Arabidopsis thaliana: one gene and its partners. The protein of the gene in region 4 interacts with the protein of the main gene of each other region in a pairwise test. Each region holds a gene or a part of one and is shown on either strand. Other genes may lie near its edges. The genes, in order: AT1G22882, AT4G23950, SUN1 and WIP1.

Region 1 (8,727 bases), on a different chromosome or scaffold from region 4:
TTGCTAGAGGATATGCACTGCCAAAGACTTATAAGGTTGTAAATATAGATGCCGTGGTTGAGTATAATGTCTTCATTTGGCATTAACTTTTGGGATTTGTTTATGTAATTCGAAAATAAATTGTTTCACTTTGCTCTCTTTTTTCTTTTGGTTGTGGATCTCCTTAATAGTTTAAAAGGTTTAGTTTGAAATAAATCTCGACTTGAGATGTGTAAATGTATGTTTGGACGTGTGAGTGTCTTCGGACGAAAGGGACGGTGTAGCAAAATTTTGGTTAGTGAATTGTATGTATGTTTTAATTATGGTTGTTGTTAGGTCATGAATTCGGTTCGATCAGAATAAACCAGAACGGTTTGAATTTGGTTTAGATATGAAAATTTCGTCAAATTTTTTTTTTTTTTTTTCTGGCCGGTTTCAGTTCGAATAACAAAAAAATAGTTCTGATTAAAATACTATAATTTGTGGAAAAGAGAGTACAATAATCAATTTATCTAAAATGACTTTATTATATAAGATATACAACATATTCATATATATTCACAATATATGATTTAAAATTCCAACATGCTCTGAAAAGGTTCAACTTGTATAAGACACAATAAGTTGTATAATTTATAATAGTCAACTTGTAAAAGCTTGACCCAATAAAAGAAAAATCTTGACCCTTCTTCTTACACAATACTCTTTTCTCTATATGGAATCTTGATCACTTCTTTTTTTGGTATGAAATTTTGATCACTTCTTCTCGGTTACTTGTATGATTTTGTTTATGGGCCTTGTCCTTTGTGTGATGTAGAAGGCGGTACAAAAATTGGAGGGGCCATGGAACGATGAGGAGGAGGAGGAGAGGGATGGGAAACGCAATCCAAACGCAAATTGTTACCTGCACCACATTGTATGATTAGTTTCTCCAAACAAAAAAAATCTATAAATATAATAACAAAGAAGGTGAATACAAATATAAGTTATATAACAATATGTATATAGACGAGACGAGACCTATATTATAAGCATGAAAATGAGTGTAAAAAATACTAACGTAGGTTGCGTTTGGCCTCGCCTAGTCCAACTTGTGAGGAGATAGATAGAAGCAGAAGAAACAAAGAGAGAAGAAGAGCAACTAAATTTGATGTTTTTGCAGCCATTTTGCTAATTTAGTGTTCTACTCTCTCTCAATTTCATAACAAAGACTAGCTTCAGGATGATTTATATAATAAAAGCTTCCTTGAAATGTAAAAGGCTAAAGGATAAGCATCGCTGAAATGTACTAGTCGCCAACTACATTTCTATTCAACGCGCCTTTAATTTTCCATACGAAAGTCTCTTGGCTCACGTCCTGTTCTGTTTAAATTTATTTCTTCCACCTACTTAGGTTGAATTTTAGACAACTATACAAACCATATAGGATATATATTTTTGTCATATAGCCAAATATTTATCTGTGAGTACAATTTTTTCGTGGTTTTGTCACAAATTGTTACGAAAACAATGACAGTGATTAAGTTCAATCCGTAGTCATCTCTGACCAGTACTAAAACACGACATAGTCATAACATTTCTTCGTGATTATGACAACTGATTTAGCCACAATTGTTTAAGGTTAATTGGCAACAGATTTATAACTTTCAACTGCAATGGTGATTTAGCCACTGAAAGTAGTGGAAAATTAGCTATGATAAATACATGGCCAAACCACTAGAACCGACAACATATATATATAACCAAATACCGTTAAAATATCTTAAAAAGTGATATGATCGAAAACGTAATTATATGAAATCACAATACAACATTAATCTCGAGTCTCTTGAGTCTTGACAATTATAGTTTCTTCTCCATCACTTGTCAAAAAGTACTTTGGCTTATGGACCTTTTCCTTTGCGCGATTTAGACGGCGGCAGATATATAGGGGCGGTGGGAGGGCGAGGGTAATCATAATCCACACGCTGTTCTTGTCCTTGACCTGCTTATTAACAATATATATGTCATTCACCATAAGCTTTTAACTATCTACATATGATTTCTTCTTCACATAAAACATAACTTTTAACTTTTCTTTAACATATGATTATATAATGAAACATGATCTAAAAACAATACATCTACAAATCCAGACAAAGATTTTTCATGAGGAAAAAACAGATTAATCTTCACAGTTTTACATAAGAAGAAAATGATGAAGATATAAAGATGAGAGACTGATAGAAAGTCATTGGATATGTAAGCTTCTTCTTTCAGAAAAACCAATATATAGGAAAGAAAAAGATCGAATATGTACTAACGTTTGTTGCGTGTGGCGTCGGCGACTCCAACTTGAAAGGATATCAATAAGAACAGAAGAAGCAAAGAGAGAAGAAAAACAACTAAATTTGATGCTTTTGTAGCCATTGCTTAAAATAAGTTGTCGATCAAAGTCTCCCACAAATTCAATATATAACGAAGACCAGCTCCTCTGTTATTTAAGAAAATGAAGCCTCGTTGAAAGTTGTAGTACTCACGGGTCCCTTGTACCCACTCACCTACTATATCCACTCAACGCACTTACTTTCACTTTTACTTACGTCCGCAAAAGAATTATGCCCATTTTTTTCAATTTTTCTATAGACTATATAAGAAGACTTCATTGTATCGAATACAATCTATGTTACAAATTAGGCATTAGATTATTGAGAAAATTGCTAAGTATATGTATGTGTGCCGGTTATTGAAAAACAAGGTATATTTCATCCATTGGTAACATGACTCTACAGTGTAAAAATAAGACCAAAACTCTCATCAAAGAGACAAAACGAACATAATGAATGTTGAGCTAATCAATAACAAGAGCCAAGCCCCACTACCGGTCTTCTCTGCTAGACCAGTTCCCATACCAATCACAACTGCAATAACCGCAATAATGCCAAACCCTAGACATACGGTGAAAACCGTTAAGCATTTCTTCTCCATCCACTCAAGTCTTTTACTTACTTGCTCAAGACTCTGTCTTATGTTTTCCTTCTCTTTCTCTGCTTTCTCCATCTCTGCCTCCACTCTCTTTCGCCACTCTTTCATCTCCTCTGCTTCACTCACCATCCCCTCTTGCCTTTCCTTCATACCTTCCAAGTCAAGTCTCAAAGCCACAATCGCCTTTTCTCTCACACCGGCTTCACGGTCCATCTCCTTGAATATGTTCCCGTATCTCAGGTTCAGTTCCTCTAAGTATCTCTCTAGAATCGATAGGTTCAAGTCCAATGACCTTAACTTCTGCATCAGTATCTTCAGTACTGTGTCCCCTGGCATTCTGCTCCCTGGCTGATGATGCCTCATCTCTTCCACGGGCTCTGACAGCTTATTACTACTCTTCGCCATTGATGCTTCAGTCTTCGCTAACATATTCTCTGGTGGGGCTTCCTTCTCTTTCTCTCTGTGCGTGCTCTTATCAGCACCATCATCGCCTTCAAGTGACTCTATTTGCTGCATTGGCTTCTCCTTATGCTCAGAATCTCCTTCTCGGGGTTTGTATGCATTTTTGTTGTCCTGGACAGATATCAAATCCTCCAGCATTCGTTCTACGGCATCCACACCGTAGACTTCTATTAAACTCAAGGTGCAGTAGAATTCTGAACCATAATGACTAATAAAGTTTAGCTTTAAGTATCTCACCCACTTTGGCTCAAGAAGTGTGAAGTTCTGCTCATGCTTCACGTTTGAAGCCGTGAAGTTTCCCATATGAACCCAGGTATCAGTGGGATAAACTAGGGTGCCTTGAAGCTCAAACTCTTTCAGATTGGAAGAGTAATGCTCAAAATTCGCGATCTTGATGGTATTTACCAAAGTTTCTTCTGAAAGTTCTACAACAACAAATTTACCTTCAGTAGAACAAGGATTTCTGAGGTACTTGTCATTGTCCCTGCTTAGGATGCTTGCAGCCCCCTTTGCTTCCTTGTTGGAAGACAAGACCTTTGCGCCTTTTGAAGCAGATGCATAATTGTACTCTTTCCCTCCAGGCTCCATCCTGTGAATCACACCACTGACCTGATCTGATAACGATTTGTTTCGAGAATTGGACGCTCTGCTCTTGAACTCATCAAGGCCAAGCGGAACCGCACGAGATGGTTGATCAACCTTTGAAACGTTGATCTCGGTACCATTCCCTAAAACTGTTTTGTTCATCTGATTTTGCTCCAAGAACTCATTGTCACTGCTTTCTGTATCATTCCCTGTGCCTGTCTTGTTCAATTGACTTTGCTTCAAAAAGTTATTATCGTCTTTGCCTTCTGTATCATTCCACGTACCTGTATTGTTAATCTCACTTTTCTTGGGAAAGTCATCATATTTGCTTCCTGCATCAATCCCTGTATCTTTCTTATTTATCTCACTTTGCTTCAAAAGGTAAGTGTCCTTGCTTTCAATATCATTCCCTGAAACTGTGCTACTGATCTCTGCTTCCTGTTCTTTGTCTTCACTTTCTTCAGACAGGTTTACATCATCATTCCGACTCAAATCAGACGTAACATCAACAGAAGCAGACGCTAAGGATAATGGTCCATCAAAGGGCACAACTTTCTCATCTGACTGACCATCATCCGGATCAGCCATTCCCATAGAGTCGTTCAAAGGCTCATCTACAAGTACACAAGAGTTGGTTCTTAACATGCTTTAAGGTAATAAAACGACAATGATGTCCACCAAAGAAAAGAACTTGAAGGTTACCTTTGGCACCATCTCCATGACTAATCAACAAGGTGGAAAAGAAGAGAAGAACCCAAAGGAGAAAAACAAGAGACAAAGAGACTTTGTAAAAGCTGTTCCTTCCATTAAACTTGTTCACAGAAACTCTTCTTCTAGTTCTACACGACCTTTGCATTGCACATCCACTAAACGATTACACAGGACACGCCCTGTTACCAGCAAATACACATTAGATGTCAAAGTTAATCAACTTATAGTATAAACCCAGAAAGACAAAGACTTTTAATAAACTCAAGCTGCAAATAAGGAATTTGAGTTCCAAGATCTGATTTTTTGGTGCGTGGATTACACAATAGACCGGAAAAGTGATCGGAGAAAGAAAGAATCACCTGAGAGAGAATCGAAGAAAGAAGATATGTGTGATCAGCAAACAACCCAGAAGAGGAGGAGGATTGGGTACGCTAACGTAGACGTCTCCGATGAGTCTCTAATGGATTGAATCTAGGCCAATGATTTTCCGGCGATATCTTTCGTCTCCGCATCACTAACGACGAAGCGTACACGGTTCACCAGTTTCGATGTTTCTGGGAATCTATATGAAGAAGAAGAATCACACGAGGTTTTTAACTGCGGCGGTGAAAGAAGAGTCAAAGAGACTTCAAATTGACAAAAATTTTGATTAGAGAGAGAGGCGAAGAAGAAGAAGAAGAAGATGGATTGGTCCAGGGTTTACAAATTTCGGCAATTTTATTGATTGATTGATTTTATTTTAGTTTAGGTTTATTCCTTTTTACGGAAAGTTACAATTTCCGAAATTTTGTGCTCTGTGTTTATCGTTTTCCATACATGTATGTTGAACTCGTAACTTTAATGGATTTCATAAAATTAATTAGAAGTGTTGATGAGTTAGTTATAACAACACAATTTAGAATTGGACAATGATGTTAAGCCTAGAGTTCTCTTTTGAGTTTTGGGTTACTATTTTGAAGCAAGTTTTGAAGACTAATAAAAAGGTCTATATATAAATATTTAAACAAAAAAGGTCTATAGAATGTCAACTTCTTAATAAAATTGTGAACTGATTATTGGGACTATATGCCTCGACAAAATAAAACACTTTAATTTCGGACAGGGAAAACGACAAAAAGGTAAGTGGAAAAAAGAGAAAGAAGGAAGATGATGAGCTGTGATTTGTGCGGCACGTTAACGTGAAAGCCAGCTTTCGATTGTGTTCCCTTCACAGCTGGCGATTTTCAATCCTTCTTCTTATACGTCGTTTTATACTTCAATATATTGTTTTATAATCTTTTCGGTTTAGTTAACTCATCTACTGGACAAAATCATTCTTCATCTTATTATATCATCGATGAACCAAATGAAAAAGTCTTCGTAGTGATTTATTTAGCCAATAATCCGAAAGTTACATATTCAGGAAACAACATTGTCACTGTGATGGTAGTTTTATTGGAAGCATGGCGTAAAACTCGCTATATAAGTTCGACCATTGCCAAGTTGATATTGATGGTGTCACTTAGTTTCGAATCATTAGTCGTCTCGAAAAAGGGTTAATTACACCACATAAGATTAATCCCTCTGTTCAGTTCCGTAACCACTTAAGAGCCAAAGATGGGCGTTTCTAATTAGTTCATTAATGATGGACCTAAAAGCCCATTAGAGTTTACATCTGAAATAGCCTTACCCATTACGCGGTAAGGGTTTTAGACTAACCGATTTATCTAACCAACTTTTCAAATCAAAGCAACCAACTTTAAAGTGAGTGGCGATTTACGGCGATCGGCTGGCGGCGAAATACGCCAATGGTCCGACGAATGCGGCGTTGATGTATGTAGCTGGCTCTGATCGGGTGTAATCGTCTCTCTGGTCTGGATACTCATCGTTTTGATTCGGTCCTCCGACAATTGCTCCGGTTAATATGTTAGGGTTAGGGTTTTGTGTTCTGAATGATTGGAATCCGCCGTTACAGCCCAGAGAATTGGAACGGACGGCTCGGCTCGGGAGAGAGGAACCTCTGTGATGGATTCTTTTGGGGAAATTGGAGCTGAATCCAACCATGTACGACATCTTCATTGGATTCACACCGAGGACGTAATCGACTTGTCGCTTCGATAGATTTATCAGTGCGTTGGGGACGATTAGTGAGTTTCCGCAGTTGAAAGTTTGTTTTGTGGATTTCATATATTTGGCGTAGGTGGTGAGCAAGAATGTTATTGATGTCACGTATTGTAGATTGCTCTGAGGTAGTTTGTACATCAGTCCACCTGAAAGTTATAGCTTTTAGTATTTGAGTAATTGAAATGCTTTTGGAGAGAACTCTGTGTTGAGTTTACCTTTAGTGTACTTTGTTGACGAGGATGGAGAATTTGGAAGGATCTTACACATGAAATTCTCAGCTGCTTGCTTGTAGAGTTCAAAGTTGTTGTCTTTGTTTAGTACTGCTCGCTGCGAAAGAAATGTGTTTGTAAATCATTGAAGGAAATGGTTAAGTTATGTCTAGGAATTTTAAGGATTGAGACATACTCGTGAGAGAAGAACATAGGCACCGGCGTATTTATTGTCCCAACTGAAGATGTCAGGCTGATCTCCTCCTCCTAAGGATTTTATGAAGTTTGTGTAATACGGGTCGTTGGTTGCTCTATGTAGCCATGCTGCTCCCCATAGTAGCTCGTCCTGATATCATAAGAGTAGTTAAGTTTTCAACGATTCATTGATATGTCTTTCTCAGTTTTGGAACAATGTAAACATATGAATCTCTACCTTGTAGCCAGAGTAGGAGCAGTAGAACGGACAGACGGAAGAGGAAAGGGAATTACTGTAAGCGCCTCGGTATTGAATGGCAAACTGCATGACCTTCTTTGCTGTCGCCAAGAGCAAGCGAGAGTACTTGGGATCTACTTTCCTGAAAACCATGGAGCTTGCAGCTAGAGCAGCAGCGGTTTCAGCGGCTACATCAGAGCCAGGGTTTGAGGGAGATACAGAGTAGACTGTGCGAGGAGTGTCCATATCTTCTGGTCGTTCCCAGCACTTGTGGTCACCATTAGGATCTCCTACTCCAACGTAAAGCTTCCCTGGTGTAGCCCTGGCACATTTCAGTAGATAATCCGTGGCCCAACGGATGGCCACACGGGAGTTCTGGAGCTCGGGTCCCATCTTCTTACCGTACTCCAAAGAGCTCCAGGAAAGCATGGTTGTGGTGAACGCCATCGGGAAATTGAACTTCACATTGTCCCCAGCATCATAGTAGCCTCCGGTCAAGTCCACCTGCAACTCATACCGTGTTATTCAGATGGATTTACTATGCTTTTACTACTTGACTATGGGTATACAGTTTTAGGGTCTTACGTGAGCAGATGAGCCATCAGAGAGGCCAGAGCTAGACCTCCATGAGAGTTGTTGGTCACTAGGGAGGCGACCAGACCGCTGACCTTGGAAAAAGAGTAATGACTTTGAGAGTGCTTCTCTGTAATTGGGACTTGCATAGGTATTCTCCAGTGAAAGCGCAGAGAGAAGGAACACAAAGAAGAAAGGAGAAGCCATTCTTGTTATTGTGTTGGCTTGAGGGTACGACTTTATCACACACGTATATATATAGCTAGAGAAGGAGACCGGGGCTGATGAGATTCAGAGCGAAGATTATGGCTTTTTGAAATTCAGCTTAACTGCTAAAAAAACTGTTCTTAGTTACTTCAATTTGAATTTCCTTTTTAATTAATATTTTATAGAACTGACAAGTGGAGGATTACATGTATTATTCTGTAATCTTCTTAATATGTTCAATTTTTTTTTAACTAATAGTTTGATTACCACATAGGTTTGTCTATATGAGTTCACCGACACAAATTGGTAATTTCTTGGTAGTTTTGATGTTTGATACTTATCTTTTTTACCACAGTAAACTGTAATGAAGTGTATTTTAGATAGTGGCATTGCGTAATACGTACGATTAGGGGATAGATAAACAATGTCTTAAATCTTGATAATAGGGTAGTTAGTTAGGTAGTATTTAGTTTAGTTAGGTTAGGGATTTTGGGGATTATG
Region 2 (7,928 bases), 920 kb from region 4:
TCATTTTCTTGATAGCTTGTAAAGTACTTGAAGAATCCCGACCTGTTTGATAAAATGGGAATTAAACCTCCCCATGGAGTTCTTCTGGAGGGTCCCCCTGGTTGTGGCAAGGTATGTGTAACCATCTATGCTAATGCCAATCGAAAAGATTTATTGTTAAGTATTGAATAGTATTTTTGTAGCAGCATTATACTTTAGAATACTAAGAAATACTATAGATAATCAAACATGCAGTGGTGCCTGTTGAGATCAATTCTGCTGAGGTTGATGGTTGTATTTCAGAGTATGCTGAGTGTTTGGCAATATCATCACTACTCCTTCAACTTAAACCTGAAATTTGTCTTAAAAAAGTTTTGAATGTTTAGTTGCTATTAACAAGTTATGATTGATTCCTATTCTCGATTGAGATCTTATAAAATCTCAATGTTTTATACAATTGTCAATGATCAGTTTACCTCTTATTGTAGTCGATTAGCTTTATCTACAAGGATCTTTTGACAACCCAGTTGCTAGCAATATAGAGCCTAACCTAACCTGATTTGCTTTCGTAGACACTCGTTGCAAAAGCCATTGCGGGGGAAGCTGGTGTACCGTTCTACCAAATGGCAGGATCTGAATTCGTCGAAGTTCTTGTTGGAGTTGGGTCAGCTCGTATCAGAGATCTGTTTAAAAGAGCTAAGGTGATTGGACATATGTGTATTTATACATTTCTGTGCAGAGATGTTAAATAGTATTTGATGATGTCTATGTCCTTGTGCAGGTAAACAAGCCATCCGTTATTTTCATCGATGAAATTGATGCCTTAGCAACTCGGTATACAATATTTTCGTCCCTTGTATCTAGATTTTGATATACTACCTTCCTTGCATAATTTTTCAACTTGAGACGGAGTTTAACTGATATCGCTCTTTATATTTTGGTATTCGTTAGACGTCAAGGGATTTTCAAGGAAAACTCAGACCAGTTGTACAATGCGGCCACACAAGAAAGAGAAACCACATTGAACCAGCTACTCATCGAGCTTGATGGTTTTGACACAGGCAAAGGTGTGATTTTCTTGGGTGCCACCAATCGCAGAGATTTGTTAGACCCTGCTCTTCTACGTCCAGGTCGATTTGATCGAAAGGTTTGTGATTAACAAAATCTAGACACTAAATCTTCTGTTCTCAAATTTTTGATAGCAGTTATTCGAATTAATAAACAACCAAACGACAATCGCAAGCCATTTGAATTTATCTTGCATTAATTTTGTAGACTTAAGAGTACCGGATAGACCGTTAAAAATAATCTTCTTATCAGATAAGAGTCCGTCCCCCTAATGCGAAAGGGAGATTGGATATTCTGAAGATTCATGCCAGCAAAGTCAAGATGTCGGATTCTGTTGACTTATCATCTTATGCAAGTAACTTACCAGGTATAAAATCTACAATTGATGTTGCAAAGAATATTTGTTATGCTCATGGTGTACCTTTTCCCATAGACAACTTATGTGTTTGAACGTATTGGCCTGTATAAAACTTTGATTAAAGTAATTGTTTATATCAATTACAGGATGGTCCGGAGCAAAACTGGCACAGTTGGTTCAAGAGGCTGCTCTTGTAGCTGTCAGGAAAACGCATAACTCGATTCTTCAATCAGACATGGACGACGCTGTGGACCGACTCACTGTTGGTCCGACACGTATTGGTTTAGAATTGGGACATCAAGGTCAGTGTCGTAGAGCCACAACTGAAGTCGGAGTGGCAATCACTTCACATCTTTTATTGCGGTATGAGAATGCAAAGATTGAGCGGTGCGATCGCGTTTCTATCATTCCTCGTGGTCAGACACTGTCTCAAGTTGTGTTTCATCGGCTTGATGATGAGTCCTACATGTTTGGTCGTCTTCCACAACTGCTTCATCGTCTTCAGGTGCTTCTTTTTCTCTATTAAAAAAACTCTTCACTCATTTCTCTAATATTCGATGTTACGAGTTTATTATACTTCTAAAATTTCTATTTCAGGTCTTGCTCGGAGGAAGAGCTGCAGAAGAAGTGATCTACGGTTCAGATACTTCAAAGGCATCAGTCGATTATCTCTCTGACGCCTCATGGCTAGCTCGTAAAATCTTAACCATGTGAGAGGCCCAATTTTGCATATTTTCACATTCCCCTTTAAAGTAAAAGCTTCTTCTTACTCAAGACTTATATATATTTGGATTTCAGATGGAACCTGGAGAACCCAATGGTGATACATGGCGAACCACCACCATGGAGAAAGAGACCTCAGTTCGTGGGACCACGCTTAGACTTTGAAGGATCTCTCTATGACGACTATGACCTCGTCGAGCCGCCAGTTAACTTCAACATGGATGATGAAGTCGCACATAGAAGCGAAGAACTCATTAGCCAGATGTATAACAAAACAGTTTCTCTCCTCAGGCAAAACCAAACCGCTCTCCTCAAAACCGTTAAGGTAATTTCAAACATTTAACCGCAATTGCGTTTTCGTTTGATTTGTTCATACTTTTATTTTCCCATGTGTAGGTTCTATTGAACCAGAAAGAGATAAGTGGAGAAGCAATAGACTTCATACTTGACCATTACCCTCCTCAGACTCCGTTAAATTCTCTCTTACAAGAGCAAAATCCGGGAAGTCTTCCTTTTGTCCCTGAACATCTCCGGCGTGAATCCGGCGACTTTGTCCTTGTTAATCACTCTACCGACGTCAATGCTCAAGTATGATTCCGGCGTCCCAGAGACATCAAATCACTAAGCTTAGGTTTATTCATTGTCCGTCATTGTAACTTCGACTCAATCTCTGAAGTTTCGGACAGTTAAATTTACAGAAATAAAGAAAAAAACTTGGGTCAAAGACACTTCTTTGATTTGCTAACAATAGATTAGACAAACTTAAGTATAAATTTAGAAACAAAAAAAGTTTTAATTCCGAGGAAATCGACGGACAAAAAGTTTGGTTCTTTGTTTCAAACCACACAAGACAGCAACAACACGAGTCATGCACTCTCTTTCTTACCTTTTTTCTTCTTCTTCATCCGTCTTCTTTTGCTCTTGTTCCTCGTGCCCTCTTCTCGGTTTCTACAGATACAGGTCATAGTCATACAACCAACGATCTCTCTTGACTCTCTCCATCTGTGCATGTCACACACGAGTATAGATCTCTTCTCTGCTTTATAGATATGGCGAGGCGCGGAAGCTGTTCGACGATATGCCTGAATGAAAAATTGCAAAGGTTTCGAATTGTCAGAATCTCCGACAAGGCTGATAATTTTAATTCCAGAAGCGGCAGCTTCTTCGAGCGTTCTATCTCTCTCGTTCTCTTACTCTGGTGCTTCCTCTTCCTCGTCTACTCCAAGCTTGGCCAAAGCCATGATGATTATGGTAATGCAGGTAAGTGTTCTTCCTTGTTTGAGAGAGATTCCGTTATCATTTCAAATGTTAATTAAGGAAACAAATTTAGGGTCTTTTAACTTGGGGGGTATATTCCAGAGATTGCTATATTGTGTTCCTCTGAAGAAATCAATTTATTTTGTAGATAGAATTGGGAATTACACTGATGGATCAGTCTCAAAGACACTGAATTCCACGAGTTCTGTCTTCCCTCAGGCCACTGAGAAAGAAAACAACTTTTGTCTCCTGAGAAAAGGCCAGTTACAAGATGTGTATGAGCATGTTCTTGTGAACAACGCTTTGTTGATCTGCAAAGTTGTGTTGCCAGAACGAAGAATAAGCAAGAAAACTCTGGAAGCTCGTGATCCTAGATATGTCAATCTTGAAGACAAGAGTCTCAAAGTTAATGGCTCATCACAGCTTGTGAATAATGGGACTCGTTATAGGTTAGAACCAGATGGAAATGGGTATAACTACGCTTCTGCTATGAAGGGTGCTAAAGTTGTGGATCACAACAAGGAAGCAAAAGGAGCTAGCAATGTGCTTGGCAAAGATCATGATAAGTATCTAAGAAATCCCTGTTCAGTGTCAGATAAGTATGTTGTGATTGAGCTCGCCGAGGAGACACTGGTTGATACGGTGAGAATTGCAAATTTTGAGCATTACTCTTCGAATCCCAAAGAGTTTAGCTTGTCAGGGAGTCTGAGTTTCCCTAGTGATATGTGGACACCTGCTGGGAGTTTTGCGGCTGCAAACGTTAAGCAGATCCAGTCATTCCGGCTCCCGGAACCTAAATGGTTGAGATATCTGAAACTTAATTTAGTTAGTCACTATGGGTCTGAGTTTTACTGTACTCTGAGTGTTGTGGAGGTATTTGGCATTGATGCTCTTGAGCAAATGCTTGAAGATCTGTTTGTTCCATCAGAGACTCCTCCCAGTAAACCAGCTATGGTGGAACTAAAAACTGCAGATGAAAAACAAGATGGGGAAATAAAAAGCAATAGGACAGATCAGATTGGCAAAGAAACTGAAGCTCAGAAGAAGAAAGATGATGTTGTGAAGACGATTAATATCATAGGAGACAAAAAGTATGAAGTCAAGGAGAAGCATAACGTTTTGAAAGTGATGATGCAGAAAGTGAAATTGATTGAGATGAATTTATCGCTTCTTGAGGATTCTGTAAAGAAAATGAATGACAAACAACCAGAGGTTAGCTTGGAGATGAAGAAAACCCTAGTACTTGTGGAGAAAAGCAAAGCTGACATCAGAGAGATCACAGAATGGAAAGGGAAAATGGTAAATTCAATAATTTCTTATGATTAAGTCTTTGTCCGTTGAAGAAACTACCAATGAATTTGATATTCTTTGAGCAGGAAAAGGAACTTAGAGACCTAGAGCTATGGAAAACTCTTGTAGCTTCCCGTGTAGAATCATTGGCTAGAGGAAACTCTGCATTGAGGTCAGTACTCTTTTTTATTCCTAAATAGAGAAAACAGAGGATTTGAAATCTCAAGCGGAGAGCTATCCCATGACTTGAAACGTATTCTTAGTTGACCCCATATTTCTTCTTGTTTCTTGATATCAGATTGGATGTAGAGAAGATTGTGAAAGAACAAGCTAATCTAGAGAGTAAAGAGCTGGGAGTTCTATTGATAAGCCTCTTTTTCGTGGTCTTAGCAACGATTCGGTTAGTCTCAACACGACTCTGGGCATTTCTGGGGATGTCTATTACGGATAAAGCTCGATCACTATGGCCGGATAGTGGCTGGGTCATGATACTGCTAAGCAGCAGCATCATGATTTTCATTCATTTACTCTCTTAGATAGCAGAGTTAGGCTTAGGTTTTTTTTTTTATAACAGTGCCTTGCTATTAAAGTTTGTAACCCTAGGATTAGGAGTAGAAAGAACTTTCATTGATAATATTGGACCCAAACTATCAGTGACAACTGATTTTCTTTAGTGTTTGATGTTCCAACTTCCATAGGTGTAAATGTAATCTGCCCGGTGCTTAGAAAACCAAATAAATTGAAAACCAAAAATAACTAAACCGAACCGAAACTGAATTAAACGAATTTCTTCCCAATTTCCAAGAGAGACAACGGTTTTGTTTTTTAGGGTTAAATTTTAAGGAACCACAAAACAAAACAATCCCCTTGATCCTTTGCCCTCTTTCTCACTATTCTCGACTCCACCAAAAAAAGGGTTTAGGAAATGGTGGTGTCGAAGTTCGGTAATGATAACGCGGCGGGAATGTCGATGATCGAGCAATTGTTTCCGGAGGTTACATGCTACGCGCTCAGATACTTAGATTACTCAAGTCTCTGCCAGTTATCAATGACGAGTTCCTCCATGAGAAAGACAGCGAATGACGATGTCCTCTGGAGAGCCCTTTATTTCCAAGTAATTTTGGACTCTCTTTAACCATTCTGTCTTGTTGTTGTTGTAGCTTTATGGAATAATGTGCTTCTTAGGGTTTGAAGAAATGAGATTTATTCTTGCACTCTCAGGTTTCTTAGAATTCATTGATATTGCCTTAAGACTGGTCTTGCTGATCCAATTGTTTTCCTTCATTTCATTCTCTACAACAAAGGAATTTACAGAGGAAACAAATGGTGGAACTCCGGTTAATGGGTGGAAGGCGTTCTTTGCAGTTACTAAACAAGTCATGACTGTGAATGATAAATTCTTTAGCATCCTCGATTCGAGGTCACTTCCCAGAATGACTAGTTTATGGCTCAACTCTGACTATGTCAAGTGCTTCAACGGCTCTGGTGAACTCTTCACCGGGTACTTACTTACCTACCCTTTACTATAATCTTTGTCTTTTTATTTTTCTAGAAATGTGGCTCCTTCCAATGTTTAGAGCGTTTTAAACATCGTATTGATTTATCACTTGTATTGCTTCGTTTTTAGGTTTGACGCAGTGATGCAAAGATGGGACTTCTGTTTCGACAACTGGGAGATAGGGTTTCCAACGTATGTCATTGAATCGAGGACACGGATTCTGAGCAGCGTGGCTTGGGTCTCCACGATCGCGCTCCATCACATAGGTCAATTCAACATCACCAATGTCTTTGAGCTTCATAATGGACGATGGCTCATGGTGCACCACCACTCCTCCATCATCCCCACAAACGGTGTGGAGAATTAATAAGAAGTTGTTTTCATCCATAGTGTGTATGGTCTTGAATCAATCTCGCCCTAGAGGAAACAAAAAAATGAACAACAAAACTGCGTATTCGGAATTGGTTAGAATATTGATAGTAATTTTCTAGCTATATTTTCATCTTAGGACAAGGTTATGTTTCTAATACATAAGTCGAATTGCTTGTGCGACGAGTTTCAACAACTTGGCTAGCCAAATGTTTTTTCCTATCCAACAATACAAAATAAAACTGTTAAACAATGAATAATAATAGTGAAAAACAAAAGTTGTTGACTCATGTAATGGCGTTTCTGTAACTGCACCAGATTCGGGATGATGGTATTCCACGATTTGGGAACCTCCGAATCTGACGGACTTAAGAAGAGTACTCAAATATCCTACGGCTAGGGGAATCTCACAGAGTAAGTCAATGAAAGTCAACATCGATCATTTGGAGGAAACGTGAGGAACAAAGATCCCACTTATCCCGGAATATTTGTTTTTTAGCCGGTCCAATAATCTATCCTACTAAAACCATTATTATTAGTTCACTAATAATATAATAATTACAACATCAGTGACCAATAACATTTCCATGTCTAAACTTTATTTATCCGGCTGCTTGAATTAATAAAAAAATATGTGGTCCCTTTCTTTTCAATTTACAATACATTTTATAAGTTAATAATTTAATTAATTTTTTTTGTATTTAAGTATTTTTTAAAAATTAATATATTTGATTAGAAAAAAAGAATATGATAAAGTGTCCCTCTCATATTCGGATTGTTTTTATTGCTTTAACACTCAGAATTATATTTTCCCGTGGAAAATGTCCTAAATTGAAACCCAAACGGATAGGCTTCTACTATTTCTATCATTTTCAAAACTTTTATATTTCTGTTTTAAGATTTTCAAAACACTTGACCAACAGCAATGAAAAATCTGGTAGCTGATCATCTGATAAGTTATTTTTAACTAGTGCTGGGATAATATTCCATAATTTAGAATAAAATCCTCAATATAATTACTCTTAAGTCTTAACACTTTCATAAGTGATTATAGACTCTTTCTTCAGTTTTTTTGTTATTCAAAAACCTCAATATTCCTTCTTAATCAAATCAGTATTAAAACTTGAAACCATGAACCATCAATGCCTGCTAATGTATATCGTTGTTAGTTCACGTACGTTCAGGACATCAACTTCTCCTATGATGATAATGTATGTTTCTGTCTAACCCCTCCTCTACACTTTAGTATTTATCCATTGTTAGATGTTGTTACCTTTTCATGAATTTAATATTATTTTATTAATTTCTTCTCTGAATAACTGTTTCTTTTAAATGCATGAGAAGCTGGAAAAAAACCTCAAAGTGGTAAAACTGAAACTGACCCTT
Region 3 (8,089 bases), on a different chromosome or scaffold from region 4:
CCAATGTTAGAGTAAATCCAGTTAGAGCGAGATCAGAAGAAACAAACGGGATTTGATCTTCAGGATCATAAATCACGTAATAGAGGAAGAGATCTCGAATACACGAATCCAAACGAAACTAGACTAGCGAATCGAAAATATAAAAAGAATTCATCGCAGATCCAGCGGATCTACGAGCATCAGAGGCTCATAATCGAAAAACATAACTGTAGAATCAAAATCAACACAAGCGGATCAAATTCATGAAACAGGATCGCGAAATTTAGAAGGAGGAGAAAATTCTTAATAATGGAGATCCACAGAAATGTAGCCAGAGAGAACATTCATTCAAAGGAAAACGAAAATCATCACCATCAGTGAAGGCGAAGAGCGAGAGAACAAGACGATACCTTGGGAGTGATCGAAGGAGATGAAATCACCAGTTTCTTCTTCACAAGCTCGCCGAGTAAAAAAGATGAAACGAGTCTCAGATTAAATCCTGGTGTGTGTGTTAGAGAAAAGACGATCCACAAAACAAGGACAAGTAATCTGGGCCGTTTCAGTTCCTTATTGGGCTTTCCAACCCAGTAAATGGAAGAAAAAATGCCAAAAGGGCAAATTCGTCATTGGTGCAGACCGACGACATTCGGTTTAGTCCGGTTGAATTTTGAAAGGAATGTACTTTCATGTATTGAGATTTGTAGCAATCAATCATCTTCAAAAGTCAATTTCAGTTCTAGGGTTTTAATTTGATACGAGGTCAGCGAATCCGGCGACGAATATCCGCCACTAGTAACTCTAGCTCAGGTAGGTTACTCTCTCTCTCGTTTTCTTTCTTTATCTGGTTTTCACTTCGTCCACTTAGAAGTATGCTCATTTGATAAATTGGCATTTGACCCCAGTTCAGGATTTAGGATTCTGATTATCTCTCAATACTTGATTAGTTTAGTGCTTAAGTTATTAGTTTTTGGTATGCCCACTTGCGCCATGTTCGTTTCTAAAGCAATGAGATTATTTTCATTTAAAGATCTGGAAAAAAGAAACTAATGGAGACAACGGCAAATGAAGATGGATTTTAAGGGTTTTTGTTCTTAGTAAAAAAAAGTTATCTTCTTTTTAATTTTCTGAGACTTTAATTGCTAGAAAGTTATAGGATTGATTCAGATAGTGGAATCAGACAACTTTTTCTTTTATGGGCGATTACTCATTTTTGTTCTTTGGTCTTCTGATTGTTTAGTTTCTTAGCAGATGATTTAGTCTTCTCTTTTGTGATCCTTTTTTGCTTTCCTTGGAAGTGTAGGTAAGGATTTGTGTCCATGGCAGCTTTGCAAACGCTTCGTGAATGGATCGGTATCCAGCAGTTCCCACCTGCTACTCAATCTAAATTGCTCGAGATCCTTGGGAAGTATAAAGAAGAGGTTCCTTTCTTGTTTCTAGCTTCATCTGCTTTCTGTTTGTTTCTTCTTGTCTTAGAGAGATTTAAGAAAGAAAAAAAACTGGTGTAGGATGTGAGCTCGCTAACGGTCCTTGTAATGGGGAAAGGTGGTGTTGGAAAGTCATCAACTGTGAATTCAGTTATAGGCGAGAAAGCTGCTGCAGTTAGTACTTTCCAGGTGCCAAGTTTAATGCTCTTCTCATGGCTTGTCTTTATGACTATTGGCTATCTTTCTTTTAATTTTTCTCATAGAAAGTGTGTGATTTTCCCTCTTTATAGTCTGAAGGACTGAGGCCTACCTTGGTCTCTCGCACAAGATCGGGATTTACATTGAATATCATCGACACTCCTGGTCTTATTGAGGGAGGATATGTGAATGATCAAGCCATCAACATTATAAAACGGTATGATGAACTGTTTCCAGGTCTAAGGAGTTACTCTCCTAATTTGGGGCTCATTTGTGGCATTTGTATTAATTTGGATTCGTGGATGTTGAATTTGAACAGATTTCTCCTCAACATGACTATAGATGTGCTACTATACGTAGACCGTTTGGATGTGTACCGGGTGGATGACCTTGATAGGCAAGTTGTCGGTGCTATAACTGATGCATTTGGTAAAGAGATATGGAAGAAGTCTGCTCTTGTTCTCACCCATGCTCAGTTCTCTCCACCAGACGGGTTAAATTATAACCACTTTGTCTCCAAAAGATCTAATGCTCTTCTAAAAGTTATCCAGACAGGCGCTCAACTGAAGAAACAGGATTTGCAGGTATAGTTTTTTCCTCCTTACATAAATGTCTGTAACGACCTTGATAGTAGTCAAGTTAATAGACTCACTTACCTCTGATCTTTTATTGTAGGGTTTTTCTATTCCTGTCATTCTTGTTGAGAACAGCGGAAGATGCCATAAGAACGAAAGCGATGAAAAGGTCAGTTGATTGGTTTTGTCCACGTTCTCTTTTTCTCGCGTCTTGTAGTAGTTGGACCAATCTTGAAGTCGGATTTTCCAAATTTGTGACAGATTCTTCCATGCGGGACTAGTTGGATTCCCAATCTGTTCAACAAAATCACAGAGATCTCTTTTAATGGCAACAAGGCGATTCATGTTGACAAGAAACTGGTCGAAGGGCCAAACCCAAACGAAAGAGGAAAAAAACTGATTCCTTTAATGTTTGCATTCCAAGTAAGCCCCTCTGAACCATTCAGTAACAATACAGAATAAGGCTTGATCAAAACATCATGCATCATTTATTCATCTTTTGATGGTTTGAAAATGCAGTACTTGCTGGTGATGAAGCCATTGGTTCGAGCAATCAAGTCCGATGTTTCGAGAGAGAGTAAACCGGCGTGGGAGCTGCGAGACTCCGGTTTAGCAAGTCGAAGGTCTTGAGTTGTGGACACGAGTTTTGTTTGGTTTGTTTGTCTATCTGAGAGATTGTTCTGTAGTTGAAATTGTGATACAACTCGAGAAATGTGGTTCACAGATAATTACTGTCGCAAAGTTCTCTCATCTTAATTACATCTTCTTTAGCCTCTCGTAAATCGTAATTAAGAGCTACTCTCTTGGTGAAAATGATTAGAAGAGATAATTCCATTTTGTCATTAATGGTAAAAGTAACCGCTGCAGTTATTTTTGACGCGATGCAAGTTTTGAAATAAAATAAAAATTTGAGTTAAAGAAAAAAAAAACCGATGTTTAAAGGAGGAATTTGGCAAACGGAGAAGACGGTTCAGAGAAGATCGTTTACTCTTTCCTCAATTTCGAACAAAGTTTTCGAATTTTCCAACTCTCTCTAGTGAATTTAGGGTTCTGATTTCGACATTAGTGTAAAGATTTGTTTTTTATCCGAGGGGTGCGATTGTGTAGTCAAACCAGATCAAATGTCGGCATCAACGGTGTCGATCACCGCTAATACGGCGGCAGCGACTAGACGGACGCCGATTCTTGCCGGAGAGAAAAAATCAAACTTTGATTACCCTCAAAGCGAATCGCTTGCGAACGGTGGTGTTGGGGAAGCCGGTGGTACGAGTAGAGATCTGAGCCGCGGTGAAGCTACCCTTGATCGATCTCAGGGACAAGATTTGGGTCCTGTGACGAGAAGGTCTGTTTCCGCTGCGACGGGGACTAATACCACCGCTACGCAGCGCCGGACGCGGAAGGTTGCGACTCCTAAGTCTGAGAAAGCGCGGTGGAAGACAGTGGTGAGGATATTTGCGAAGCAGCTTGGTGCGCTTTTGATCATTGTTGGGTTAATTCAATTGACGAGGAAGATGATTCTCAAGGCTTCTTCTCCGTCCTCTCCGATTTCTTCTTATGAAACGGAGATGGCGTTTTCGGGATTGGAAAGCCGAATTGCGGAAGTAGATGGTCTTGTTAAGGCTACGACGAATTCGATGCAGGTTCAAGTTGAATTGCTTGATAAGAAAATGGAGAGGGAAGCAAAAGTGCTTAGGCAAGAAATCGAGAGGAAAGCTTCTGCATTTCAGAGTGAGTTGAAGAAGATAGAATCTAGAACTGAGTCACTAGAGAAGTCTGTAGATGAAGTAAATGCTAAACCTTGGGTGACGAAAGATGAGTTAGAGAGGATTTATGAGGAACTGAAGAAGGGGAATGTTGATGATTCTGCTTTTAGTGAGATTAGCATTGATGAATTGAGGGCTTATGCTCGTGATATTATGGAGAAAGAGATTGAAAAGCATGCTGCTGATGGCCTTGGCCGAGTTGATTATGCATTGGCTTCTGGTGGTGCTTTTGTGATGGAGCATTCAGATCCTTATCTTGTTGGTAAAGGGAGTAGCTGGTTTGCGACTACCATGCGGCGCGCTCATACGAATGCGGTTAAGATGTTATCTCCGAGCTTCGGTGAGCCTGGACAATGTTTTCCTCTGAAAGGTAGCGAGGGCTATGTGCAAATCAGGCTGAGAGGACCAATCATACCAGAGGCTTTCACATTGGAGCATGTAGCTAAGGTAATGATACTCTTGTACTGCAAACTATTTGTGTTGGTATCAGTTTTCTTTCTTGTGTGCTCTTATTACTACCTTTGGTGTTTGCATTTACAATGGTTTGATATTGAGATGCCTGGAAAAAATGACGCCATTTTCTTTGTGACTGTTGATGGCATGAAATTGTTTGAATGAGGCTTGAGATTAGTTTAGATCGGTTGCTGCAAAAGATCTGAACTGAAGAGGATTATGGTTACTTAATAAGTTTCGTCATCATCCAGTAGGTCTCGTCATAGTTCTCCAATTCTGTGTGTGCCATATGCCATTGACCTTTAGGAGTTTGTTTAAGATCTGTTTTTTTCTGGCATTATCTTTTGAAATTGATTACACAATACCACTCTATCGAAGTATCTCAAACCTTTGTCAAAGAGTTCAATAGTATGCATAAATAGATCCTTTGAGGGTTTTGGGTTATCTTCTGTTTCTATTTGCAACGACTGGAACTAGACTATTTTGTTTGTTTGGGGTTATTTCAATGACAATAACCGAGTAAAATGAAATAAAGAAGACATTTGGATACGCTCATTACTTACTGTCTCTGGACATTTTTGGGTCATTCTTATTTTGGGGATTATATATGTACACTGACCTGATGGATTGATGCATTGTGAAAATGAACAGAGTGTAGCCTACGACAGATCGAGTGCTCCAAAAGATTGCCGTGTATCAGGATCCCTGCAAGGACCGGAATCCTCAGCGGAGACAGAGAACATGCAACTTCTAACAGAGTTCACTTACGACCTAGACAGGTCGAACGCACAAACATTCAACATCTTAGAGTCATCAAGCTCTGGTCTAATCGATACTGTCAGGCTAGACTTCACCTCGAACCACGGAAGCGACTCGCACACTTGCATCTACCGGTTCAGGGTTCATGGGCGTGCGCCAGACCCGGTTCCTGTTGTGGGAACGAATCTTGATCAGGACTCTTCACCTGAAAGTGAATAAAACCTCTTCTGTTTTGTAACATTCCTTCATCCACATCTCTTTTGTTGCCTGTGTTTTTTATGGAAAGAAAAAGAAAGCATCAGATTCTGTGATTAGACTAGTAGAGAGTTGTTTGATTTGATTATGTCTTCTTTGTGTTACCTTTTGGTTTATTTGGTTGCAGAATACATAAATCAAGAAATCCAATTTATACTGTTAATCTTTAAAACGCATCTTACCTATCTTCTAGTCTCGATATGATAATAACATCATTTTAAAAGAATATCTCCAAATTGGTTTTGTTCTAGCAGAAATATACAGCTACGTTCAAACGTCCTATTCAATTAAATCACATCAAGTTCAAAAGTTTACCGAATCAAATAGTTTCTTTATATAATACCGAATCAACTAGTAGTTAGTTTTTATTCTTAAAATCGTTGAATAAAAGATACACACTTTATTGTAAGACCACAAACTAAAGTTGATCTTTTATTGGACTGCTCTAGGCTCTACGTATACCACACGCATATATATGTGCACGAAAAACGTTACTTTCTGATTGAAGTAATCAAAGTTCGGTCAAAGGATTCATATATATATAATGGAATCTATGTCTATCTAAGTATCTATAGACCACATAATAGAAAGAAAAATAAAACAAAAGATGAAAAGGAAGAGAAGATTTGTATAAATGAAAAAGCAAAGAAACAAGAGGGGCATATAAGTATCAAAGGAAGGGAACAGTGTTCTTGATTTCAGACTTTTTCAGAATATATTCTTTCAATTATTTTACTTCTTTCTTATCTTTGCTTCCTAAACTCATAAAGATCTCTTCTTTTAAAAAAAAAAAATATAAGAAAAACGAAGAGAAGACCGAAGCATTGCATAAGGTAAAAACAATAATAATTCCTTTCCGCTACAGTTTGTTAATTCTTTAGTGTTCGAAGACCAAATCTGAAGAAGAAAGCTCTTGAATTCTCCCTCATACCACGAGAACCATCTAAAGAAAGTCGCTTTAACTCTTAGAACAAAACATGTCGGATCCACTCTATATATTTAATAGTATGTCCCTCTGTGTATATATCTACATGTGTGTCTCTGTTTATCTTCAGAATTTTGTCGTCTCTGTCTCATATATTGCAGCTATTTCTTGGCTCTTTTTAAAAAAATTTTGCAGGGTCTCAATCCGAGATAGTAGTTGAATCTCTTTTAGCTTCAAGCAATCTCAGATCTTCAATGCCTACTCAGCAAATCCAATCCTTAAGGTATATACCCATAGTTATACATCTTTGTTTGTGTTTTTTTTCTCTGTATAGATTCTTGATTTCTTCTCTTATTTTTAGTTATCCCTCGAAACAGAGATGTTTATTTCTAATGTTTTGGTTTTGTGACTATATGAAGAGTCTTTGTGGCGACATGGAACGTGGGAGGAAAATCTCCACACTCTGGTCTTAATCTTGATGCTTTGCTTCACGTGCATAGTGAATTCGATGTATACGTTTTAGGGTACACAATTTCAAAATGTCTTGAGTATTTCTTGGATTAGTGTCTTGAGGGTTGTCGATTTAATCTTGTCTCATAGTTTTCAGGAGATTGTTCCATTGAATGCTGGAAATGTCCTTGTTCTTGGAGACAACGAGCCTGCTGCGAAATGGTTAGCGATGATCAATCAATCCTTAAACAAATCATCATCATCTTCTGGAGGAAGACTTAGCCCAAAAACTCCATCTTTTGGCGCTGGATCGATGTTCTTTGCGAAACCTTCTTTGAAGAAGATTAGTGAGAGTTTCAGAACAGAGTGCAGGAGAAAGCTGAAGATCTGTAACTGCAGCACTTTCTCTGAAGATATTGTAAGAAAGTATGGGAGAGAATCTTGTTTCAGATGTCCTGAAGGTCTAGTTAACCAATCCGGTGTACTTTCTGATGACGAAGAAGATGAAGATGATGACGATGATGATGAAGACGAGGATGAAGGAGGAGGAAAAGTTGCTTCTCTTGTAAGCAACCAAATGACGATGAAGTATGGCTTAGTAGCATCAAAGCAAATGGTGGGTATATTCCTTACTGTGTGGATGAGAAAGGAACTTATTCAACACGTTTCTCATCTCAGAATCTCCTCCGTCACCCGCGGAATCATGGGTTGCTTAGGAAACAAGGTACAGTACTTTACCACTTTCATACTTAAAAACCATAACAAGTAAAAAAAAAAACTCTGTTTCTGATATTCTCTTCTTCTTCATCATCATAGGGATGCATAGCTGTGAGTTTGCAGCTCTACAAGACGAGCTTCTGCTTCATCTGCAGTCATCTAGCTTCTGGTGAGAGAGAAGGAGACGAACGCCGCAGAAACTTAGATGTGATCGAGATTCTCAAGAACACAAGTTTCCCTAGAATATGCAGAACCTCTTTTACTCGTGTCCCTGATCGAATCACAAAGCACGAGTAAGATTTAAGAACACAAATATCATCGTTAACACAAATACTATTTTCTGCCTTGGCTAATCTTGGGGTTTCTTACCGCATTTTAATATCAGTCGGGTCATATGGCTTGGAGATTTGAACTACAGAATAGCTTTGAGTTACTCAGAAACAAAGACCCTCTTGGATAAAAACGCTTGGGACACTCTTCTCAACAAAGATCAGGTTTCACAATCGGTTCCTTTCCTCCCAAGAAATCAAGTTTTAGTGTTGATCACAAACTCAAATAAAAAGAAGCTAAACCGGTTTATTGGTTCTGAAA
Region 4 (7,830 bases):
TAATAAACTAACGATAAGTGATTATAAAAAATATATGTCTTTGGAAACCAAACAAAATAGTTTAGGCTTCAATCCCATTAAATTCTCATCTAAAATTGATGCATGTAGCATGTAGATATGATCATGACAAAACGATGATTTACAAATTTTTATTTTTCATTTGTTCGTCATAAATATTTGATCGTTTATGATAATATTATTATTAGACATGACTGATTGTTATTGCACAAATAATTTACATTGTATATAGAATTTGCATCGCATTTTTATTTGCGTATCAATGGCTGACACTGAGATTTATGAGGCCACAAACAATTTCGGTTTTGGGGGCTTCATGATCTATATATAAATTTTTTTTACCGTTTGGGCCTCAAAAGCTATACATACTACTTGTTAAAATTTGGGATCCAACACCGATGTTCCACTAGGATATGATCAGTTACGGATTATTTATTGTAACTCTTGACAATATTGCACAAAAAATTTCTTGATTGTAAACATTCGGGTTGCAACGTCAGACCATCTCACTTTCTATCCTCAAAATAAAACATTTCCAACATGCCATTTTTAAAATTCTAATCTCATAAGCATGATATTATTTGGACATGAAGTGTATACAGTTATAGTGTACAAGCAGGAGAGTAGAAGTCACGCGTCTTACAGATGAACTTAGTGCTAGTTTACCAAAGAAGCTGACGTGGCGTTTTCATGCTTTCCGTCTTTGTGCTAATAATATATGGTAGAAAAAACTTTTGAGACGCAAATAAAAATGCGAAAACCCCAAAATCGTAATCAGCAGCGATCGAGATTTTCGCCGCTGAAATCTGGAGACTGATTATTACAAACTTGTTCGTCGTGTTCTTCATCGGAGAGACACTAGATCGGAAAATTTAACCTCGATTTGATTGCCGTTGCCGTAACATTTGACTGTTGTTTTGTGGTGGGGAATTCTAGGGTTCTTGTTTGATGAAGAAGAACTGAAGTGAAAATGACCATTAAAATCTCCCATGAGATGATTGTGTCCGTTCATTCTTCGAAATCGGACAACGGAATCGAATGATCGTCATATTCTGTAAGAGAGAAGGTTAGATCTTCACCGAATCTGGAACTCGAGATCCATCGTTTTGTTCGATTTTCTATTCTTTCGCACAAGGATTGGTCTGAGAAGAACAAGTTCAAGTTAGAAGCTGTTGTGTTCTGTCCGGTGAAACTTATTTGAGCTGCTGCAAAAACTTCAAAAGTTGTTACTTTTTCTGAAATAACTTAAGCTTCTTGGTATTTTGAGACTAAATGGTTTCACTACTCTTGTGAATTCCTGGAAATCAGAACTGTTATTAGTTTTTTTTGTATATTTAGGGACAAAGATGCATGCTAGGCAACGCAATGTTGGGAATGGGTACAGATCTGGTTCTATTGGGATGGGTATGTCTGGTTCTAGAATTTCTCCTGAGCGTCCTATGAGAGGACATGGGTTCTATGGTTCTGAACACCAACACCGTGGCTTTAACCGTGGATATGGACGTGGAAGGGGACGCTCTAAATCATACCACAATCAGCTGCCTCCGCCTCTGCCTCCTCCACCGGTGCAGCGTAGAAGCAGTGGCGGTGACGTTTTCATGGAGGCAGGTCGTCTAGCAACAGAGTACTTGGTTTCTCAAGGTGTTCTACCACAAACTGTGCTTTCCAGTAAATGGCAGAATGGTAATTTTAGGAAGCAAGCTGGAGAGTTTCAGAGTTCCAGGTCTCAAGAAGAAGCCCGAATGGATGTTTCAGCTCCAGCTGCAGAGAAAAGGAGGTATATTGATGGCTATAGCTCAGCTGGATCCAGGAATAGCTTGAAAGGAAGGAGATCCCACCGTTATGACTCGGATTTTGGGAGGAGCGGATCTTGGTCAGAGAGAAGTAAAGCTTTTGAGACTGAGACTGGTGACGACTCTGTGTCTGGGCATCAAGAAGAGCAGCCGCTTGCTGAAGATATTGCTAGCTCGGTTCAGCGGTCAGCCTCTGGTGAATTTATGAGAAAATGTGAAGGAGCAGGTGATTCCGAGTCTGTGTTGGACAAGTACAATCTCCAGGATGAGGCACAGTCTAAGACAGGTTCCTCGAGTGCCGGGAAAGATATAGTACAGGATTGTGAAATCTCTAAAGTATCCGAAGGCTCTTCTAGCTTGAGTGCTGGATCAGGAGAGATGAAAGGTAGGTCTGGTGGTAATGGTGGAGAGGATGAGAACCAGACTGCTATCGAAGATGGATCTATCCATCAACGTTGTGAAGATGCATCTATTGATCAACAGTGTGGGGCTGATGAATCATTCACCAAGAGTGGTATTGATTTGGCAACGCTGTGTAAATTTGAGAAGGTGCCTACGAGGACACGCTCTTCTCTGACTGCAAAAGGCCCAAAGCTTTATTTGAGTCATAATATCAAGGATACCTCTCATAATTCTGGACTTGAAGAAGAAGATCAAACCGAAAATCGATGTGAGACTCGAGGCCAATCATCTGGAAAGGCCGATAGTACTGGTGATGAAAATGACCAAGTTGAAGATTTTGCTCTTGTTCAATATATTGAGAACAGTAAATGTCATAGGTCTAATTCTTTTCCCAGTAGCATTCTCAGGGATAACAGTGAGAAAGAATCAGGATTAGAATTGCCTAATCTGCACAGATCACATTCGGTGGGGAAAGTAGGTGAGAAAAGGCCTGGTGAAGGCAGTGACTTGGAGGAGGGATCAAAAAGACAGAGAGATTGGGTGGCAGTTTCTGAAGCTAATGAACGCTTCAACATGTTTAAAACAAGCGGAAACCAATGCGATCCGGAAGAAGAAGGAAAGACAAGCTCGTTCAACAAAAGACTGATTGACGGTGCTGCTGGAAAAAGGGTCAGCCATGAAAGTCTGGTTAATAACTCTACATACAATAGGACACACACTGGCAGAACAGGTCCAGGGTATGCTGAAGAACATCAGCTGTTTCCTGCTTCGTTTAAGATGTGTGACCTAAATCTAGGGGGAGCGTCGGATGTGAATGATGGGATAAAGGAATCTCGTCAAGCTGTTGATTTTGATCTCTCAATCAGCAGTTCTAGTAAGTCTCTCGAGTTTGGTACGAGTACTCGGATGAGCAATGGTAAAGAGATAGAAGTGATTAATTTGGATGATGATCAAGAAGTGGTAAAGTCCAGCAATGATCCAGGAAGAAAGTACGGCCAAGTCCTACTCTTAACACTTATATATACACACACCTATTACATTTTGGCTAATGGGTTTTCATATCTAACAGGCAAGAAGCTGCTCCATATATGGGCATCGATGACGTCCCAGACTACAATGAAAGACTCATGATGGTAGAGTATCTTGATTCCTTTACTCCAATAAACCAGGGAACCAGTAGTGTCCCACAGAATAACAACACAGTTAGCCTTCAAGACCGAGAGGTACCTACTCTACTTGTCAAGTTTTATGTCACATAGAATGTTTGTTGTTGCTAACAGATCCTGAAAACGTCTCAGGGAGCTATTGGAAATGACCAAGTACCAAATAATACAGACGATGATTCGATCTTCATGTCACTCGGAGAAATACCATTGAGTAAGACCAATATCAAATTCTTTCTCTTTTCTATTTTAGCTTCTTAAAGAGCTGAGATTCATTATGTCTTTGCAATTGTGCAGCATTCTTGCAAGCTTGGGACCAACCTCCAGCTCGAGGCTACGAGAAGCCTTTCTGATTCTCTTTTTTTTTGTTATGTTTCTTCAGTCTGTGTAATGAGTGTGTAGTAGCCCAATTTCGTTTGTGCTAATCTCAATCCTCTCAGATGATGTAAGAATGTGACTTGTGGTGTTTTATGGTTGTATGTACCCTTTGTAATTCTCTGTTTATTCTCACACTGTCCCCATGTTTTAGGTCAGTTCAACAATTTTCTGAAATTGTAATAACCAAAATGATAATTATTAACGGTATATATATGTCGTGTCCAATCTCACGGTCAAAAATGAAGAAGGTGATGCTGAGAGGTCAGGCGATTCCGACACGTGTTATATTCCAACCACCCACACGTAATTTTCAAAAAGGAACAAAATTGATCATGAGGGAAAAAAGAATAAACTTTTTCCCACAAAGAAACTTTCCACATTGAACGAGAGAATTATAGATCTGCGAATCCGATCATTGGATTAGGGTTTTCACTTTTCACCCTCCTTTTTCCATCTCTCTGCTGTATACCCTTCCTTTCTCCAAAAAGACCAAAACTTTGCGATTCAATTCGAAATCTGTGTTCTTCCATTGAGCTGGATTTTCATTTTTGGAATCATTTCTTCTCTTCTTTGATCCGATAGATGGTGGCATGGTAGGAAATTTTAGACCTTTATATTTCTATTTAACCGTCAAGGAACCAATGAATTTGTATAGCTTGTTGAGTTGACTTTTTGATTGTGTATGATCGAATTTGGGATCCTCATTTCGGGTTTTGGGTTATTGATCTGAGCTCCTGTTACTTCTGAAACCGATGTGAATTTGGTGGGGGATAGATTTTTTTGTGGAGTCAATGGATTTGGAGAGTGAAAGCTCTGCACTTGAGTCTGTTGATGATAATGTTTTGATTCAACAAAGTGCCAGCAACGTTTGTGATGATGGTAGGAGTTTGGATAACGGGTCTTGCTCTGATGAGAGTGTGAAACTGCTTTCGACTTCTAATTCTGTTGAACTCGGTAAACCTATGAGTTTTGATTCACCAGGTGATGGTGGTGGTGCTTATTCTCCGGTTTTGAAAGGACAAGGCTTGAGAAAATGGAGGAGGATTAGGAGAGATCTTGTTAAGGACACGTCTGCGAATATGGAGAATAGTAAAGCTCTGAAGAGAGGGTTGTCAGGTGTTGCTCATTCACATGGTAAACAGATGCAGTTTCAGTCACCGGAAGTTGAACAAGAGAGTCAGGGATCTGTTGGGTCTGTTAATATGTTGAAAAGTAGCGGTGATGGTTTTGATATACTTGGGAGTAGTGGTTACGATTCTAGGTTTGTGGCAGGGGTTGGTTTTTCAGCTGGTATGGATTTAGAGATAGATGATGATCGGAGTAGTAAGTCTTCCACGGTTGCAAGAGCTCCCAAGGTTATTAGGTATGAGAAGCCAATGATTAGTTCAGGTCAGGGAGGAAACATTCGTGTAGAGAATAGTAAGAAACATAGAGGAGAAAGTGTCGATTTCGAGAAGGAAAACTCTTATTCCAGCTTGGAATCTGACTCAAGAAAGCAGAGTGGAAGAATGATGGACTACAATGGTGAAAATGGGGAAACGTCAATGAGAAAAGATGATGCGGGAGGAGAAGGCGGAGAGTCGATAAACACGGACAATCGTTACTCAGATGAAATGGATCCATTAACAGAGGCCATCAACGGTTTCTTGGCCTTGCAAGATGCTCTTGAAAAAGGTAGCCATTCTGATTATTTTTTTGCTGCGGATTGTATCTAAACTTGCATTATTTTTACTGCTGTTACATAACTATTTCTTGTTATGAGCCTGCATTATCATGTTGGAATCAACTAATAACATCACATGAACAATGATTATGATGTTTAATGTGACTCTTTATGAAATTTCATTTGCAGAGGTTCAGCAATTCCAGGAGATCGGGAATGAACCAATGCCACAGCATCATGAACAAGTCAGCGAAGCAAATTCACCTCACCCCGAGATTGTAACCCTGGTAAACAATGTTGAACAACTGGAGAACATGCTAGAAGAAACAAGGTCCATGCTTGAGGTGAAAGAATCACACATCCGTGACCTTGAATCCACCACGAACCAAAGCAAACACTCGTGGGGAGGAACAGAGATTGTGGTTGAAGACATCTTCCGGCAGAAGATTGAGGCCGAGATTGAATATCTGATATATTCAAGATCTATCGATAACTTAAACAGTCAGATGAAGTTAATTGATGAACAAGAGTCATTGGCAGAAGAGCAAACCCATGAGACGCTGAATAAGCTAGGAAGAGTACAAACGAAGGCTGCAAATTTTACAAACAGAGCTCAAGACCTGCAAAACGATTGCATAGAAATCACCGGGACCATCAAGAAGAGAGCATGTAAGATCACTTCATACGTTCTTATACAGTTAGTATTGCTGTCAACAGTAGTTTTGTTGCTCCTGTCTCAATTGTTGCCGGAGCCAGATACTGTTGTACCCACATGACTTTTGATTTTTGATGTAAACTGAGTTTTGTTTTGGCTTTTGGCTTTTCTTGTTAACAATTCGGCTATAAGTTTTGCCTCTGGTAATAAAATTAATCAAGTAAGTCTCGCTTCTTCTTTTGTTTATTTTGGAGGTCAAGTATTCTTTACACTTGGACACTTGGTCAGTAACAGAACAATTTGATAATTCTATCTAGTTTGTTAGCTAATATGGTATCAAAATGTAATCACTCTTTGGCTCTTTCAATTTCCTTTGATTGATCAAGTCAACACTAACAAAGCAAAAACAGCGGTTGCAGCAGAGATCAACAGCGAGATAAAACGAGGAGTCGAATCAGCAGTTGAGGCGTTTAGGTTATGTGAATAGAGAGGTGGTAAAGGGCAAACAAGCCCATCTTTCCTTTCTCTGCACTCGTTAGCGAAAAGGCCAGTAGGGTAGTTTCCATAAATATTCATGTAGCTGAACATTGTCTGTGCACAATCACTATTCATGTCGTTGATCTGACTCACGTAAGGACATGCAAATTCTTTAAAAGCAGAGCAACATTCTTTGGCTGGAAACGCTGGACCTTTGCACCTCTTTGTCAAGACCTTGTAGTCCATATACTCAAAGTTCACTTCACATTCTGTTTCCAACCAAACAAAAAACAAGAGTTAGTGTCACACCACTTATATATACTTATCTATACACAAACTTGATACACTGATCCAATAATACAAATATTATATAAGAACACTAATGATACAATTTGATTTTAAATTAAAACCAAAGATGAAAAAGTTCTGAAACATAACCGAAATCTATAAATTAAACATCTCTAGCTTATAGACAGGACCAAAATTCATGTAAGAGTACAAATGTTCCTAGTTCCGACGTTACGTCATAATCCTCACCATACCAAGCTATATATCAATATATCATACATATCATAAATATGTACATGAGTCTATATTCACACATTGACGTAAACATAAAATGAAAAGCAGAAGTAAATTAACAAATCGGATTAACAAATTAAAAGGATGAGGATGCTTTTACTTTTCTTGGCATGACGAAGGTTCCTTCCACTAACCGAGGTTTGTGATTCAAACACACCATCTACAGAAAGCGACGACCCATTAGAAACAAATTAAAGATGGAGGGTGGAGAAGGAAGACAACAAAAAGACATACCCGATATGGAACTTGAAGAGGAGAGAGATACCAACAGTGCCATCAGAAAGAAGAATAATAATATCAGCTCCATGAAATTGTTGTTAAAGAAGCTTGTAACATTTTCAAAGAAGAATACATAAGGAAAAGAGTTATGGCGAAATTAATGTCTTACAAAAAATTTCAACGGTAGTCGTTTCAAAAACGCCAAATAATTAAATAACTAAAATATAAAATAACCATTCAATAATATATGTTTGTTTCGTAATTAAGAACCCCAAACATCTAGTAATTTTCAAAAGGCCCCTTAAATTTTGAGACCATAATATCTTCGTACTCTAAAACTGGCTTTGTATAAAGAATTAAAAGACTTATCTAAGACAAAGGTCTTTCCTAGCTACTAGAGTAGTAAGACCATAGATAATTGTTTGATATAAAGAGGATTATTATAACGATTTATGTATAAATTGACAAATTTAGCCTAAG

What was found.
Region 1: the proteins of WIP1 (region 4) and AT1G22882 interact in a protein complementation assay, tested with the Arabidopsis thaliana proteins (one study listed by BioGRID).
Region 2: the proteins of WIP1 (region 4) and AT4G23950 interact in a protein complementation assay, tested with the Arabidopsis thaliana proteins (one study listed by BioGRID).
Region 3: the proteins of WIP1 (region 4) and SUN1 interact in a protein complementation assay, tested with the Arabidopsis thaliana proteins (one study listed by BioGRID).

What each region holds. Positions count from the first base shown.
Region 1 is NC_003070.9:8,095,269-8,103,995, reverse strand, and holds AT1G22882 (Galactose-binding protein), read right to left. Parts: upstream 5,605-8,727; 5' UTR 5,061-5,604; intron 4,881-5,060; 5' UTR 4,847-4,880; coding exon 4,693-4,846; intron 4,605-4,692; coding exon 2,776-4,604; 3' UTR 2,532-2,775; downstream 1-2,531. Other genes in the region: AT1G22900 (Disease resistance-responsive (dirigent-like protein) family protein), read left to right, coding at 1-86; AT1G22890 (uncharacterized protein), read right to left, coding at 768-883, 1,040-1,145; AT1G22885 (uncharacterized protein), read right to left, coding at 1,863-1,966, 2,283-2,388; CEL5 (cellulase 5), read right to left, coding at 6,457-6,950, 7,020-7,131, 7,210-7,359, 7,447-7,950, 8,032-8,226.
Region 2 is NC_003075.7:12,439,120-12,447,047, forward strand, and holds AT4G23950 (Galactose-binding protein), read left to right. Parts: upstream 1-2,927; 5' UTR 2,928-3,177; coding exon 3,178-3,388; intron 3,389-3,533; coding exon 3,534-4,684; intron 4,685-4,758; coding exon 4,759-4,847; intron 4,848-4,973; coding exon 4,974-5,211; 3' UTR 5,212-5,428; downstream 5,429-7,928. Other genes in the region: FtsHi1 (FtsH extracellular protease family), read left to right, coding at 16-111, 552-680, 761-813, 931-1,126, 1,300-1,414, 1,552-1,910, 2,003-2,115, 2,204-2,453 and 1 more; AT4G23960 (F-box family protein), read left to right, coding at 5,646-5,789, 5,980-6,176, 6,303-6,540; AT4G23970 (uncharacterized protein), read right to left, coding at 6,259-6,561. UniProt on the Arabidopsis thaliana protein: Encodes a member of the mid-SUN subfamily of SUN-domain proteins. It is involved in early seed development and nuclear morphology. [TAIR].
Region 3 is NC_003076.8:1,468,979-1,477,067, reverse strand, and holds SUN1 (SAD1/UNC-84 domain protein 1), read left to right. Parts: upstream 1-3,038; 5' UTR 3,039-3,297; coding exon 3,298-4,386; intron 4,387-5,043; coding exon 5,044-5,370; 3' UTR 5,371-5,587; downstream 5,588-8,089. Other genes in the region: TOC34 (translocon at the outer envelope membrane of chloroplasts 34), read left to right, coding at 1,296-1,397, 1,485-1,592, 1,694-1,818, 1,921-2,185, 2,277-2,345, 2,438-2,599, 2,696-2,806; AT5G04980 (DNAse I-like superfamily protein), read left to right, coding at 6,384-6,411, 6,527-6,614, 6,751-6,855, 6,932-7,505, 7,598-7,791, 7,884-7,992.
Region 4 is NC_003075.7:13,361,192-13,369,021, forward strand, and holds WIP1 (WPP domain interacting protein 1), read left to right. Parts: upstream 1-4,091; 5' UTR 4,092-4,545; coding exon 4,546-5,428; intron 5,429-5,606; coding exon 5,607-6,193; 3' UTR 6,194-6,340; downstream 6,341-7,830. Other genes in the region: AT4G26450 (uncharacterized protein), read left to right, coding at 1,365-3,202, 3,283-3,436, 3,512-3,590, 3,674-3,729; LRE (lorelei), read right to left, coding at 6,454-6,818, 7,232-7,291, 7,366-7,438. UniProt on the Arabidopsis thaliana protein: Mediates and enhances the nuclear envelope docking of RANGAP proteins mediated by WIT1 and WIT2 in the undifferentiated cells of root tips.